Arabidopsis thaliana: one gene and its partner. The protein of the gene in region 2 interacts with the protein of the main gene of each other region in a pairwise test. Each region holds a gene or a part of one and is shown on either strand. Other genes may lie near its edges.

What was found.
Region 1: the proteins of AT1G70030 (region 2) and AT5G41920 interact in a two-hybrid assay, tested with the Arabidopsis thaliana proteins (2 studies listed by BioGRID).

What each region holds. Positions count from the first base shown.
Region 1 is NC_003076.8:16,776,355-16,783,931, reverse strand, and holds AT5G41920 (GRAS family transcription factor), read right to left. Parts: upstream 4,290-7,577; 5' UTR 3,951-4,289; coding exon 2,733-3,950; 3' UTR 2,508-2,732; downstream 1-2,507. Other genes in the region: AT5G41940 (Ypt/Rab-GAP domain of gyp1p superfamily protein), read right to left, coding at 338-387, 478-613, 1,676-1,893; MED10A (Mediator complex, subunit Med10), read left to right, coding at 4,900-5,111, 5,184-5,264, 5,343-5,448, 5,522-5,611, 5,701-5,772; AT5G41908 (uncharacterized protein), read right to left, coding at 6,494-6,649. UniProt on the Arabidopsis thaliana protein: Probable transcription factor involved in plant development.
Region 2 is NC_003070.9:26,375,113-26,383,265, forward strand, and holds AT1G70030 (Paired amphipathic helix (PAH2) superfamily protein), read left to right. Parts: upstream 1-3,528; 5' UTR 3,529-3,720; intron 3,721-3,743; exon of another isoform or gene 3,744-4,072; coding exon of another isoform or gene 4,073-4,105; coding exon 4,106-4,236; intron 4,237-4,330; coding exon 4,331-4,514; coding exon of another isoform or gene 4,515-4,544; exon of another isoform or gene 4,545-4,552; intron 4,553-4,830; coding exon 4,831-4,926; intron 4,927-5,007; coding exon 5,008-5,079; 3' UTR 5,080-5,267; downstream 5,268-8,153. Other genes in the region: AT1G70020 (transmembrane protein, putative (DUF1163)), read left to right, coding at 2,258-2,655, 2,762-3,041; AT1G70040 (transmembrane protein, putative (DUF1163)), read left to right, coding at 6,121-6,425, 6,520-6,796.

The DNA.
Region 1 (7,577 bases), on a different chromosome or scaffold from region 2:
AACTTGCACAGGTTTCATTATCAAGTTAATGGAATGTAGGGCGACGGCTGGTGGAGTTTGGTATGGCGAAACTAGGACTAATCTTATAAATCTCTTGATAGAAAAACATTAAGGCAACTCTCTGATCTCCTAGTTAATGAATGCTTTACTGATGCACTGTTTATTCAACCTTAAACCTACATAACATCAATATCCCCAAAGAAAAAGCTAATATCAATAGACCATGCATGAGTATGAACATAAGGCCGAACAGAAAACCCCCAATGGTAGCCGAAAAAGATAAAACTCATAAAAGTATACAAAAAACAAGGAAAAGTGACAAGATGCTGATTCTTACACTCCAAGAAGGAACGGCCAAACTTCTGGTCTGATGCTTGGATGTACACCCTGAAACAAAAATAAAAATTAGTATATCAAAGTGTCAAAAGGTTATCAACTGCAGATTACAGCAGATTTTTTTCTTATTTAGCAACATACCCCACTACGAACTTTCTTCAGAAATTTGACACCTCCATCACTGAGTCGCCCTTCCTCTGTGAAAAAAGCATTCCATTGTTTAGGTTGAAGAACTCGCTTTCTTCTCCTTAGTGACCACGGTGATCCAATGCTTCCTCTGAAGAAGTAGATGAGCAGAAAATGAGCAACTTCGTCCAGTAAGTTTAGAAAGAAAAAAAATTACATAAAACCAAACCAAATGTAGTGATAAAAAGCTTTCTTTGAACAAATAAGACAGGCTAAATGGTACATGTTATGTCCTATATTCATATATGTTAAAAATAATTGAAAGTATCAATGGAGTTCTATCACACATCAGAAGACCTAAGACTCTTAACCACTTCATCACTACATACAGAAACAGTCCAAGAGATGCCAAGAATTAGAATAAGGACCAGAAGACAAAAGATCATATCAGGCTGCAATTATTCGATCCAACTCTTCATGGTATGCATATTTATGATGCAGAACTTAAACAAAATAGCTTCATTGCTTGGGTTGTAGAAAGAGTTATAACAACAAAAACAGATTTCTGAATTCGATGATAAGAGATTTAGCAACAAAAAGCTTATGTATCTGACAAAATTGCAAAAGAAGAAACACAAATACAAAGCTTGGGGAGTTGATTATCGAGAGTTCCTTTAGGAGTTTATACAAAGTTCATGAAGTTTCAGACTTCCACCTAAGGACCCTTCTAGAATCACTTTGTTTGTTCAATACTAACCAAGAGAGCATGTCATACAAAAAGAGACAACCCAGCAAACAACCTAAAAGTAAACATTAAACATTGGTTACATTTTCCCTCATTATACTATAAAAAGCCTTAGTGCTTCGAGCCTCAAAATCATTATACGCATCAGAGTCTATGAATACAGAATATGGCCAGGACTATGTTCAGCCTGAGAGTCTTACAAGTTCCATGACAAGAAGAGGTAGTGGAAGTACGAGTTAGCAGCTAACATTGGACCAAGAACTCAATCACAATAACCTAACTAACAGAGAATTCTTCGAACCTAAAGGCATGACGATCCAGCCTCGAATTGGTGAGGTAACAAAGAAGCAAGAACCAATCAAATCTATGGATACCAAATAACTACTTAACTAAGTAGTGAACAAGCATTGCTTCTTTGCTTTGAAGAAATCGATTAGAACATAAATCAGATCGTTTTTGTGTGTATACCTACGAGAGTAGACGGTGAAAGCGACGGCCACGGCCATGACGGTGACAGCGACAGCTAAACCAACATTGGAAGGAATAACGGCCGACGACCACAATCCACCGTAGTAGCCATTTCTACCAACGCCGCCGCCGCTGCTACCGTCGGCAAAGACGATCCATTTCCCGGCGATGATCGGGGAGAAGAAGACCTTCGTCAATCGTAGTCGTGGAAACATCATCCCAAAACTAGGGATTTTGCTCACCGAGATTTCTTCTTCTGATTCTCAGAGTAAAATCATAGCAATTTCCTGAGTTGAATTGGATGAAAATTGATTATTGAAAAAGTCGAAGGTCGTTTATAGAAATTGGGCCCACTTTTTTAATGGGCCTTCATACAGTTGGGTCATTCTTTCTTCTTTCCCCCCCTCCCCTCCTCCCCCCCCCCCCCCAAAAAAAAGAATGGTTGTCATTTTATTTTTATTTTGTTAGTTTTTGGTTTTTGTTTTCGATTTTTGGCTTTTGCACTACATCTTTCTTTTAAAATTGTACAAAAAAAGAAGAAAAAAGAGACAAGTATCCTGAATTTTCTAAGAATCTCAAGTTGTATGAATTCTAGATTTGATTTAAGAATTGAAGGAACAAATTAAAAACCAGTTTCACTAAATGTAAGAAGTTGATGGTCTCATAAAAATTCCACTTGATGTTTTTCATGAATACTATGAGAAATGATGATTTTTCATGGTGGTATCGTCTATGATATTAGACCTTCTATTTGTTGTAGCTGACTTTATTAACAGATATGTGTATAGTCATAACCTCTTATGCTTATTGAGTTATTTAACATGAACCTCTCTTATGCATATAGTTATCTAACAAGAACCTCTCTTATGCATATAGTTATCTAACATGAACCTTCTCATTTTTAGTATCAACAACCTTCTCATTCTCAATATCAACAACTTTTTGCGTCAATGAAGACTTTTTTTTATCGTAATTATCGTAATTTGTTTGGAAATATTTTCAAAACAAAAAATCTTAATGATCACTTTGCAGTTTGCATTATAAAATAAAAATAAAATCAATCGAACGGCTGAGATTTCCAGGCAGAGGCAGTCAAAAGCGAGAGATCCTTCCAGCCAAGACGGAGGGTTCCATTCTCTTCAACCAAAGTATATCCATTCCACGGTAACATACCCAACAATAAACCCGCTTGTGTCGCCGGGTTACCCCGAAGCGAAACAGGTCTAAACCCGACCCGGCTCAGTTCTTCTTTCCACTTCATTCTCTTCCTTCTTCCTCCTCCGTGCGCCACAATGTTTCTTATCTCCGTCCCCAAAACAATCTGCTCCACCGTGAATCTCTCACCACTCTCTTCACCCAATCCATCTCCTAGCGCGTCAAACAACGCGCTATAATAATGCAAAGCCTCCACGAATCTTCCTAAAAAGCTTCCTCCATCGTCGTAGCTCAATTCTTGCTCCACCACCGTGATCAGATTCGGTTTCAGCCTCCGTAGAATCTCCAACGTCTCGAGATTGTTCCCTGTAACATCATATAACCGGTGCTGCATCCAATGAACCACCACAGCTTCTCCTTGTCTCGTTGCGAGTTGGCTCGGATCGATTAGGTTTCCGATTATGCCTTCAATTGGATGAAATTCGAAAGGGAGGTTTAACGATGATGCGAAATCGGCGAGTCTCCGGCCAGTTGAAGCGAGTAGATCGGAGGAGGAACCAAATCCGGTGATTCGAATTGATCGGAGTTTTCGAGGACGTGAAGCGAGGATGTGAAATAGAGCCGGCCATTGAAGACCTTGCATAACATCGAGATCGATGATATGAACGGAATCTTCTCCGTCAAGCGCCTGAAAAATGGCTTGATTCGCCGTGAAATGTGAGAATTTGATCAGAGGACTAACGGAGTTATAAGTCTGCAAGGCGGAGAAGATTTTCTGAGACTGAACAACAGTGAGTGGTTTCTCGGAGAGGGGAGAACACGCGCCGGAGAGGTAAGAGCTGATCACGCGCGTTTGTAGCGCTTGAGCGAAGTAAGCGACGACTCGCTCCGGCGAGGAACCGAACGGAGAACATATCTCGGAGATTTCGGATAAAAGTGTTGAAGCTTCACGGAGATGATCAGTAGCTACGTATTCGGCGCATTGGAGGAGTAAGCTAAGGAGTTTGATTGCGGCAGCACCGTCGTTTTCGAGTGTTTCTTCGGGGAATTCGATACGGCGTTTAGCGGAGGAAGGATCGTCGGAAGATGGGAGATCTCTGTCTATGCGTTTTGTAGTCATGGAGATTTTGTGAGAGTGGAATCATTGAAGAGAGAAGAAGAAGAAGCAGAAGATAGAAAAAAAAGTGGAGATTCGAAAAGAGAAAGGGTTCGAGAGAGTAATGACAGGAATTTTGAAGAGTGAAGACAAGATAGTATTTTGGATGGATCAGTTTCTTGAAAAGATTTTTATCTTTTTTGCAAAAGATTCAATGTTATAATCAAGTGCTCTTTGTGAAGATTACAGCTCCTTCGATTACTCTTTTTTTCTTTTCTTTTTTCTTTCTATTTACTTAAAACCATTTTTTTATTTGTGAAGATTAAAACCAACGAAACCAAGTGAACAAACCCAATTGGAAAAGATTTGGTGAACTCTCATGTTAATCGTTTATGTGTAGAGACTAGAGACATTAAAAATGTACCACTTAACCAGAGAGATTTAATTTGTCAGTTGTTTTAGTTGAATTTGATTTGTAAAACAGTTGTTTTAGTTGAATATAATTTCACACATTCATTCAAAAAAAAAAAAAAAAGGTCTCATGGATTGATACTTAACCAGAGAGATTCAGAACCATCTCCACCTTTTAAAATCAAAAGTTCAAAACAATAGACCCATTAGTTTAAGTAACCGTAAATGGACATGACTTAACTCCATTGAAAACCATATAAAAGCCCAAAGGCCCATTAATGACTACAACAAATTCAAAACTCGATTGTTAATTTTCTTTTGACCACTTTGACTTTGCGCCTGTGATCTTCTTCTCAAATCCATCCATGTACGCTCTCTGAACTTCTTCTTCTTCTTCTTCTTCTTCGTCGGTGGTCCTAGGGTTTCATCGTTCCCAGAAATTTCATCCAGTTGTGTCAATTGGAATTGATCTCTACATAAATTGTTTCCCTCAACCTCTATGTTTCCGTGATTCAAAACCCTAATTTGTGTGTGTTTTAATCGCGTTTCTAGTTATTCGGTGATGGATCAAACACAGAACACAATCGCCGGAATTGGTGAAATCAACGGTTCGATAAAAACCGAAATCAATGCAATTGCAACCGTCGACGATTCAAATGAGAAGCTGAACCAAATTATAAACTCGAATCAGAAAATTTTAGAACTCCTTCATCAATTAAAACTCACCGTCTCTTCTTTCACACCTGCTTCTCAGCTTCACCTCCTCCAACGCCTGTAACTTTTCTTCTTCTCTATTGATCCATTGTTTTGAGTATTGTGTGATTGAAATTTTGTCTCTATCTGCAGCAATTCTCTTGTGATGGAGCTTGATAATATGGCTAAGTTGTCTGATAAATGCAACATTCAAGTCCCCATTGAGGTTCTTAAGTGAGAACAAGTCCCTTTTTAGACTCTTTAGAGAATTTTTGTTGCTCTCTTATGTTTATATATCTTTGTTTGTTGTAGCTTGATTGATGATGGGAAGAACCCAGATGAGTTTACAAAAGATGTTCTTAATAAGAACTGCATTGCTAAAAATCAAGTTACAAAGGGAAAGAGTGATGCTTTTAAGGTGACTCCTTTTGCTCTACTGGTTCTCTCAATTTGGCCACTCATGATTTTAAAGTCGACATTGTTTGGTACAGGGTTTGAGAAAACATCTCTTGGAGGAGCTTGAACAGGCTTTTCCTGATGAAGTCGATCGGTATAGAGACATACGTGCTAGTTATGCTGCTGTAAGTTGTTGACGTTCCTTTGTTTCTCATCTGAGATAGTTTCTACAATAGTTAGTCAAGGTGATAAATTTATTTTCATTTGAATTCAGGAAGCAAAACGGTTGGCTCAAACGCAAAGTGTGTTACCAAATGGGGATGCTAAGGTCAAGAGTGAGCTATAAGAGCTATGAATCTTGCCTTTTAGAATAAAATTTTCAAGTAGATCAATGAGGATGTAAACGAACAAGCCTTCTTGGAATTTCTATAACATCCGTTGGTTCTTTTGCACTTGACTAATATAGTTTGAGAATTTCTCCTTAGCTTTCTGAGGTCATGACTCATGAGGCTGTTAAATAGTCACTCATAGGTTACAAATAGACTAGTCTCTTAGTTCTATCGATGGGTTTTGTACCTAGTATGTGATAGATTCCTATCAGAGACATAAGATTTGCTTTTTACTAGGACGATTAATCTTGGTTCTGTATAAGATAATCTTCTTGCCGAAAGAAGAAGTGATATGGCTTTGCATTGAGTTGGTTGCAATTTCAATTTTTGTCTTATCTCTGGTTAAAGGAAGCTTCTCATTATCTTTAGCTGTAGTAATGTTAACTACACAAGCATCGTGTTTAGATTGGCTTCTGTTTGACCACTCTCCAACTAGAGGGTGGTATTTATATATTGATGGTCTGTGTGTTTAAGCATTGTGTTACTATTTCCAATAGTTCTCATCACCGAAAACCATGCTCTCAAAGATATATTTCCTTTTCTCAACCATTCTTACAAACACATTTTGATAAATGTCTTTGATCACTTCCTTCACGCTTTTACTATTTCAACTACCAAGGGATCATACAGATTTGTAGTTTAATCAGATACTATGGCTCTGCTTCGTTTAATCAGACACTATGGCTCTGCTTTTATAGTCTCCATATCAATACTTGGTTCTCCTGCAGCTGCAGAAAACCAGTTTTCAGTGACACCATGTGAGCTGTTGTAAAGAAAGATGAAGGACGCGGTTCTGTCCATAGGGAGGAGGCTCAAGAGACTCGTAACCGGCATCCAACGTAATGCTTGGTGTTGGACCTGGCTCGTCTATTCTGAAACCATACAGCGACCTTTTGGGGATGCAGAGTCAGCTAGTGAGCTAAGTCCTGAAGAACTTTGAGTCTACCTCCAACATGAACAGCAAAAACTTCGAAACACAAATGAGTTTGGTGTGCCTCTGTTCCATTAAAAACTTAAAAACGCAAATGAGTTTTGGTGATATATGTTATGACAATCGAAATGATTAGTGAATATGATCAAAGAGTAATAATGTTACATATCTTAGTGGTAGAAAGTAGAAACCTATAACCAAGTGGTTTTGGTCTAATGGTAGCTTTCTATGACTTTTTAAAGATTTGTGTTTCATAGGATTTTCTAAAGGTTGCGAAGTTGATATTCCGATAAAAAGATGTATGAGTTTCGATCTAAAATTTTCCGAATATTACCTAAATAGATAAAAGATTATTGTATATCAATTTTAAATAATTTTTCTATGACTTCGTTAAACGAATTTGTTTTGCAATATTAGATGAAAGAATACTCATAAATCAAAAACGTAACTCCTTCTAAAGTATTTAACATTGCTTTCAAAATTTGTTTTAGTAATCGTGTTCTTGATACCGAAATACGTAAGTATCAACGAAAACACATTCGAACCAACTAAACCTCAATCTGTTTTTACTTTGATCTTCTCTTTAAACTTTGGCAAAAAGTTGCATGTAATTGTAATTTGTAAATGTAGTCTTTGGCTGAATAATTTTCATTCATAAAAAAAAAAATGTCGGTCTTTCTTACTAGTTATTATGTATTGTACCTATGTAGAATATTTGTGTATTTGTCAAATACTAATTTAAAATTATGTATTTGAAAGTATCTTTATTGTATGTGTGGGTAAGGGAGAGATGGGAGGCATGTGATTGTCACATGAAGTAAATGAGGACGG
Region 2 (8,153 bases):
TATTTATGACTAGAATAAACTTTTTAGTAATAATAGACTTTTTGTTAGCAGATTTGTTTTTAAAATTTCGAATTTTTTTGTTACATGAGATTTATTAACTAGCCCTCAAGTAAAAATTTTCCGGTTTGATTGTAGGTTAAATCCGGTTTGATTCAATTTTTTTTTTTTTTGAAAAAGAAATTTTCATAACGTCACGACAGACTTTTATTAATGTCGGCAGATTTTTACATAATATTGTCATATTTGAATTTTAATGAATTTTATTAGTCATAATAAATTCTCCAAGGGTTTTCATAACCGTTTTTTTTCTTCTTCTATTCCTACCATCAAATCAATTATTTGTGAATTGATACATGTCAAAATATTATTGGTAAGCTAAAACAAGTCAATTTATAATATGCAATATCAAAATTAAATTGTTTTTTTTTAGTATTTTTAAAATCAAAAACGAAATATGTGAAGAAGATTCTTCTTTATCTAAATTTTGTTCAAAATTATTATTTAAAAAAAAGTTTGTTCTCACGGATTTTCGTTTTTGTTTTAATTATGTAATATAGGTTTTGGTTTTCTTTTTTATCCACGATTTCCTTTTTGATTTTATAATTCTGTTGAAAAATAATTTGGTTTTGCTGATTTGTCAAAATTTTATTGGTGGAGTGACTTGTGCTTTAAAATATAAAAGATTTGTTTTATTTTTTATTTTTTGTTTTAATTTGATTACAATTAATCATTAAGGTTATTTCGTCTTTTTACCAAAGATATGGCTTACTACAGTTTTTGAAACCAAACGTGTGTCATTTAAGTTATTTATGTTAAGAGTTGAGTCAATCTAAGCAAATCTTACTAAAAAAATTTATTGCCATAAATACAAAATAAAAATCTGGGAACAACAATGAATATGAGAAATTTGTTCATCGGTAAAACCTATGTAACTGCAGCGCGTACATTAGAAATCATGGATCTCAAGAACATATCATAGAACCTACGTATAAATTACAATAAGCGTCGATCTCAATAACATTTCATAGAACCATAAGTTTACTTTATTAATTTATATTGTACGGATAATTCGAAATTACTTTTCATAAGAGTAAAGGCATTCCAAAACCTGAAAAAAAAAAACAGTTTTTAGGTCCTTTAAAAGAATTTATAAGTAAGAATTTATAAGTATATCTTATTGTAAAGCACGCGAATATCTTTCTCTTGGAGTTTAATTCGACATACATTACTTAAAAAGTATATACACTATATACATATTCATGTACGTGTGGTGTGTGAGGGAAAGAAAGATAATTAATATATATGTTGGGATACGAGATCAAGTACGAGAAAAGATTAAGGTGTTGATTAGTTGCTTCTAATTGTCATCTTCATGACTAGACCATACTTTGGTATACACAACTGGTTACTTTTAGTTTGAGATGCGGCGGTACGAAAAAAATTAAACAAATTAATGTGTGTTTCAAAATATTAATTATAGAATTCAACACTGTTTTCTTAGTTGATCTCTCTAATGCTACAAAATATTCTGAAGATTATAATATAAGGTGCTACTAAATTATCCATGGTATGATTCGTATATCCAACATTTTTTCTGTATTATTTAGAATTTTTAACAATTAATACTTTCTCCCTAAACAAAGTTTATAAAAATTTCACTCAAGTTTCACTATTGAACGAATTGGTAAACAAAAATAAATGTTTTGGCTATTTAAAAAAAAAAATTGGTGCGGTAAAGAATGGTAAAATTGTAGCGAGGTGATAATAGAAAGTTGTTAAGAAACATCTCAAATTACAGCATCTTGGCCGATAATAAAACTAATATACTATGTTTGATCATCATATGATTTATTTTTCGTTCTAGCCTGCTTCTTTGATTCGTAGCCAAACAAGCTGGAGCACTCCCAAAGTCCCGAGTCTTAACGTTTTATGGCCCATTAACGATCTAAAGCCCAACATAAAGAACCTATTTCTATCCTTTGAGAAGTTTTCTCTGTCCGACGATTCATAGCCAATTAACGCTAAGATTACTATTTGATTTAATCTAAAATATCTTTAGCGAAAAGAAAGTTATTTACCAAAATCTAAAAATTTATATGTAATTATCGAAATCTTTTTAAAAAATTTGATATGTAATTATCGAAATCTTCTTATAAGAACAATATACCAACTCTTTTCTTTAATAACCCTAACAAAAAAAAGATACATAAATCTGGTGCATATACACATCTCTCTATCCGTCTCTCTCTGGGTTTCAATGGATTATGAAAACGGAGAAATAATAGCTCCTAAATCCACCACTTTATGGGATAGACTTACACCACGACAAAAAAAGTATGTGTTCACGTGTGTCTTGGTTTTTTTGATCGCTATCGCAACCGCTGCAATTATCGTTTATGCCTACTCTGAATCAGCACAAGAACGACGTGAAAAACGGCGTAAAGAACAACGTATAGAAAACTATGCACCGGATATTATAATACCATCTATGGATTTCACAGTCCTTAATTTAACCGAGACTAGTCTTAGTGTTAAATGGGATTTAGTGATCAGGCTTCCTTCAGATCTTCCTGGTTACTATATGTGTCTCAAAGGAGATTTGCAGACTTTCATACTTTACAAAGGTGTTACCATTGCTAATTCATCCTTAGACAGGTTACACTTTTTAAAAATTTCAATACTCTTTTTTTTTTTTTTTCTTTAACTAATTTCGTTTGTTCATATATTTTTGTTTGAACTTTTTTGTGTTATGCTCTATCAGTTACAATCTGATACCAAATTGGCCTCAGCTGCTTAATACCTCATCGGTAATTGCTTCTGAGGGAGATATGGACAGTGTTGTTGTGAAAGACATTATGGACGATATAAAGGAAAGAAGAGACATGCGGTTCGGATCGAGGTTGCTTCTTCCGGATTGTAGATCTGGGAGGAAGATGAACTATACGTGTGATGAAACTGCGGTTCGGTTTGAGCCTGGCTCTCAAAGGAAGGCAACTGCGTTTGAAAACGCCGCTCCTATATGCCACTATATTCACACTTAAGTAAAATTTTCATCAATAATGATTTTTATGTTTTAGTTTGCATATGTTGGATCTTCTTCTTTTGCCTTTTGATATCGTAGGAAAGAACTTAAACAACACAATGCGCTTTTGTTTTTTTTTCCTTTGGCTTCAATGGAATATACTTTGTTCTAATGTATTATTATTTTCGTTAATAATTATACTCTCATAGTAAGATACTATTTTTTAAAAAGATTCTATTTAAACATATGGTACTACATCAATATCATAAGTTAATCATTACATCAACTTAAAAAATTTATTTAGTTAGTCTGTTTAACGTACCGAACCGATAATTAAATTTCGAAATCAAATCTACCGATTGGTTTGTATCTAATAACCAAACTAGAACCGATTTGCACAAACTTCGGTTTGGACTTATCAATTTTGTTTTTAATCTGAAGGCCTACTTTTTTCTTTCTATAAATATTGGATAAGACTCATAAAAGTAGTATTTGGTATATTAAGAAAAAGAGTAAAAAATCCATATAAAGGAGAGAAAATCGAATCGTTATGTTAACAAAAAGATTATGTTTAACGTACGTGATATTAAGTATCTTTATATGACTCATGTAGTTATTTATAAACCTAAAACCTTACGACTTTCTTTGTGTCAATTGTCAAGTCTTTTGTATCTTCCTGTAAGCCTGTTACGTGTGAGGTAACGTGTCCATCAATACTTGTGTCCTAGCGAACTTTGATCGATCCTCTTCACTTTGATCCTATCTTGTTTCTATACTGAAATTCTTAGATCAAAATATAGTGTGACATAATCTGAGGAGTAAGTTAGATTCAAATCTTCTGGTCGATAGCTGTAAATTCCCTTGCAATGTTTTCTATGACTCTAATTGCTAGATCTGCGCTGGTTGTATGAATTTTTGGGATAATTTCGATTATTTTTCTTTGAACTTATATATCTTGAATTCGTTTATTGAGATTTAAGACTTGTATTGATTTTCAAAGTTGTTTATATTGGGAGTCGAACATTAATCTATTTTCTCTTCCTCTGGATAATGAAGCACTTGCCAGTTGTCAGTTTCAAAACCATGGTTGCAAATAAGAAGCTAACTACAACCGATGCACTTGATTTCCTCCATCTTGTAAAAACTAAATATCAAGATAATCGTGAAATATATGATAGTTTTCTTACGATCATGAAGGATTTCAGAGGTCAGAGGTATTTTTTTTCTTCTTCTTCCCTCATAATAGTTTCAGCTCTTAGTTATATAAAGTTTTGGTAAACTGTTTTTTTTTTTTTTTACTAATTGTAGAGCTAAAACATGTGACGTCATATCAAAAGTGAAAGAACTCTTCAAAGGGCAACCAGAGCTTCTCTTAGGTTTCAACACATTCTTGCCAACGGGGTTTGAAATAACACTCAGTGATGACGAACTTACGTCAAATTCGAAGTTTGCTCACTTTGACGAAGCATATGAATTTGTCAACAAGGTCAAGGTAGTTGGGCAAAATCATACTAGTAATTAGAGTTTGATTATGATTATTTTGATCCAAAAGATCTAAAATCTAAATAAAAAACAGGTTTAGTCATTTAAATTTAGAGAGATGAATAAACTTGTTTAGATTTTAGTGTTAAAATTTAGGATATCAGATTTATCGTTTTAATTAAGGGTTAGTTTCGGTGTAAATATTTCGGTTTATATCATTTGTATTCTCTATTGCTGTTTATTTTGCAGCCCTACTAGAAATTATATTACTCTTTTCTGTACAATTTTTTTTTTTACTTTTCTCTTAAATATCATTTTTTCTGTAGACAAGATTTCAGAACAATGATGTATTCAACTCATTTTTAGAGGTTTTGAAAACGCATAAAAAGGAAAACAAGAGCGTTGCTGAGCTCTACCAGGAGGTGTATATATATATATGTTTCACTACCTTTTCTTTTTCCATCTTTCTTGTATTGGATTTAATGTAATGTATTATTTTGTAGGTGGCTATCCTTTTTCAAGGCCATCGAGACTTGCTTGAGGAATTTCATCTCTTTCTTCCACATTATGGATGAAGAATGATGAATTATGTATACAATGAAGCCATGCAAGTTGTGGTTCAAAGCCACTTTATCTGCTTCCATTTGACTCAATGGGGATTATCATTAGTTTGTTGCTGAACTGGTAAAACTAGTACTCAATTTTTCAAGTTGTTTTATACTATTTAAACTGAATATTATGGATAATACACAAATTATTTATCAATTTACTTAAGACAATATAATTATGCTTAGTGAGAATGTACCAAACCTTTTTTTTTGGGTTAAAGGTTGCTGCACTAATTAAAAGAACAAACGGCGAATTACAAATTCTCAAATAAACGACAACAAACCCGACACGGTACAAGAAGATAATTTGAACCAAACCATACAAACAAAAGAATATTGCCTAGGTGTTGAGGTGGCTCAACTGTGGAAGCCAAAGCTCTATCAGATGCAATGCTAACAAGAGAGAAGTCGAATGCAGGGAAGAAGCTATCAGATTTTAAAATCCAAGCTGATGCGTTTACTCATTTCATCTTTAATTGTGAGTTATTAATTTTGAAAACCAGACTTTTTTTGTAGGATAAAGAACTTTTACAACTTTTTTTCTATAACCCTTTTAATATATGGTTTTTATTTTACTTTATTTGTCTAAATTTCTTTTCTAATACAGTTACAAACTTTTATATTTTTATCTTAAATATTTCAAAACTTTTAGATTTTATACATGGTGAAATCTGATGATTTAATTGATATTTGTTGCAATCACGAGAGTTAGCAAGTTTGAGATTATTGTTTTGAAATAAGATATGGAGGATAAATTTATTTTAAAAAAGAGAGAGAAAAATGAAAAAATAAGAAAATACTTAATTATTGTTTTGAAATACTTTAATTAATTAAAAACAACTATATCTTTAACTAAATTTTAATAACATATCATATAATTAAGTATAGGTTAAAGTTCATTTTCTTAAAAATTATCTTTCCTTAACAACTATATCTTTATTAAACTGTCTCATCTTCCTTTTGCACTCCAAAATAGTTTCCTCGTTTCTCTTCAATCAATCACTTAGAATGGCAGACGAAGAACTATCTATAGGAGTGCGGATCTTCGTTTCTTTTCTCATAGCCTTTGGTATTTGTGGTCTGGTTTTGTTGATGATAAAAGACAATTCTGGCAAAATCCCGGTGCCGAAAATAGAGTTAGCTTCAATGGATTTCACGGTGCAAAATATTACAATGACTCGTCTTAATGCAAAATGGGATTTGTCGATAAGGATCCCTGATGATCTTCCTGGTAAGTATATATGTCTTCAAGGAGACCTTGAAGCTTCCTTGCTTTACAAGAATGTCACTCTTGCTACCTCATCCCCACAAAAGTAATGAATCTATTTCCTACTATTTTTTAAACCCGTTTTAAATTCCTTAATTCGTTCGTATTTTCAAAACTAATTGAATCTTGTATATGATCAGATACTACAATCTCAAATACTTCAATCCTCAGCTTCTTAAGATTTCAGCTAATGTTTCCGAAGTAGATATTGGCGGTTTGATTGGAAAAAATATTATTAACGATGTCAAAGAGAGGAAAGAAGTACACTTCGGATCGCGATTTTCTCTCACGGATTGTAGAGAAAAAACGACAGGAGTTATGAGTTATGAGTGTGACGAAGCCACCTTGCGGTTCGAGCCAAGCTCTGAGATGAAGGCGACAATGTTTGGGGACCATCCAAACTGCATCAATGTTTGACCAAAGTCCATGTCATCACCATGCCAGTTCATTGTTATATTTTGGCGTCAATGTTAATTTGACTCGGAGAGTGGGGAAACATAAACGAGAGAAGTTGGGTCGTGTAGGTACATAATGGGCCGACAATAACAAACGCTAAAACTAAAATGTGTGAAAATGCCAATATTTGGGCCCAAAAGATAAGAAAACTGGAAAGGAAGTAAAAGTGTACGTAGGATTAATTAAAAAGATAGTGTAAAACAAAGGGGGCATTCGGAGAATTGAACTCCGGACCTCTCGCACCCTAAGCGAGAATCATACCACTAGACCAAATGCCCAATTTGATTGAAGCTTCACTTTGTTGTTAGATAACCATATTCTATGTCACCAAAAATTATCCACATCTACATAGTCATCTTAAGTTTACCTACCTATCAAAATTCAAAAGAGTATTAGCAAAGTCCGACTGACAAACTAAATTTGAACCGACACGAGAGAAATGATTTTTTCATTGGAATTATTTGATTCTTAGAAGTTGAAAACTTACTTTAAACTAGAAAAATTACAAATCACAAAACCACCTTAAAGAACCAAACGACTTAAATGATCCATAATCATATCTACGATCTACCAATATAGCCTATACATGAAATAAAACAGTTCAATAAATAAATAAAACAAAACTGGCAAAATGCTTTCTAGATCATAAAAAGCCTCGAATTTACTAATTGTAGCACATGACATTGATAGTTAAATTCTCCTAACATTCCTATTATACCCACACCATCACCCAAAAATAACAAAATCACCGAACTACACAAACCCGAATTGCAAGGTCCCAAAATAACCAAAATCCAATCCTCTAGCTCTGCTGCGCCCTAATCCCCCAATTAACCTCACCGGCTATAACCGGTTACTCTACCTATAAGCAACCTAGCAACGGCTGTCTCTAAGTTGTATTTCATATTTTTTTCAATTCTTTATTTTCCATCATCGATATATGTTTCTCTACCGTTTTTTATTTATTTATTATTCTTATTATTATTATTTTTATTTTTTTATATTAATCATTTGACTGTTGTTTCCTCTACCGTATTTACTACATTTTTAATATTAATAAACTTTTTTTTAATATGTTTCATAATAATAAATAATATATGGTGATGGAAAAGGTAAAAAATAACAGGGAAAACTTTTTTTTGGTAATTAAGTAAAAAATGGGCTTAATGAATAGTAAAATAGTTATTACACCAAATCATATAATATAAACAATAAATTAAATTACAATTAAGGCAGAAGTAAAAAAAATTAAAAAACCTTTGAGAAGTCTCATCTTCTCATCTTCACCATAAATATGATTTTAACTTATGTCTTATTT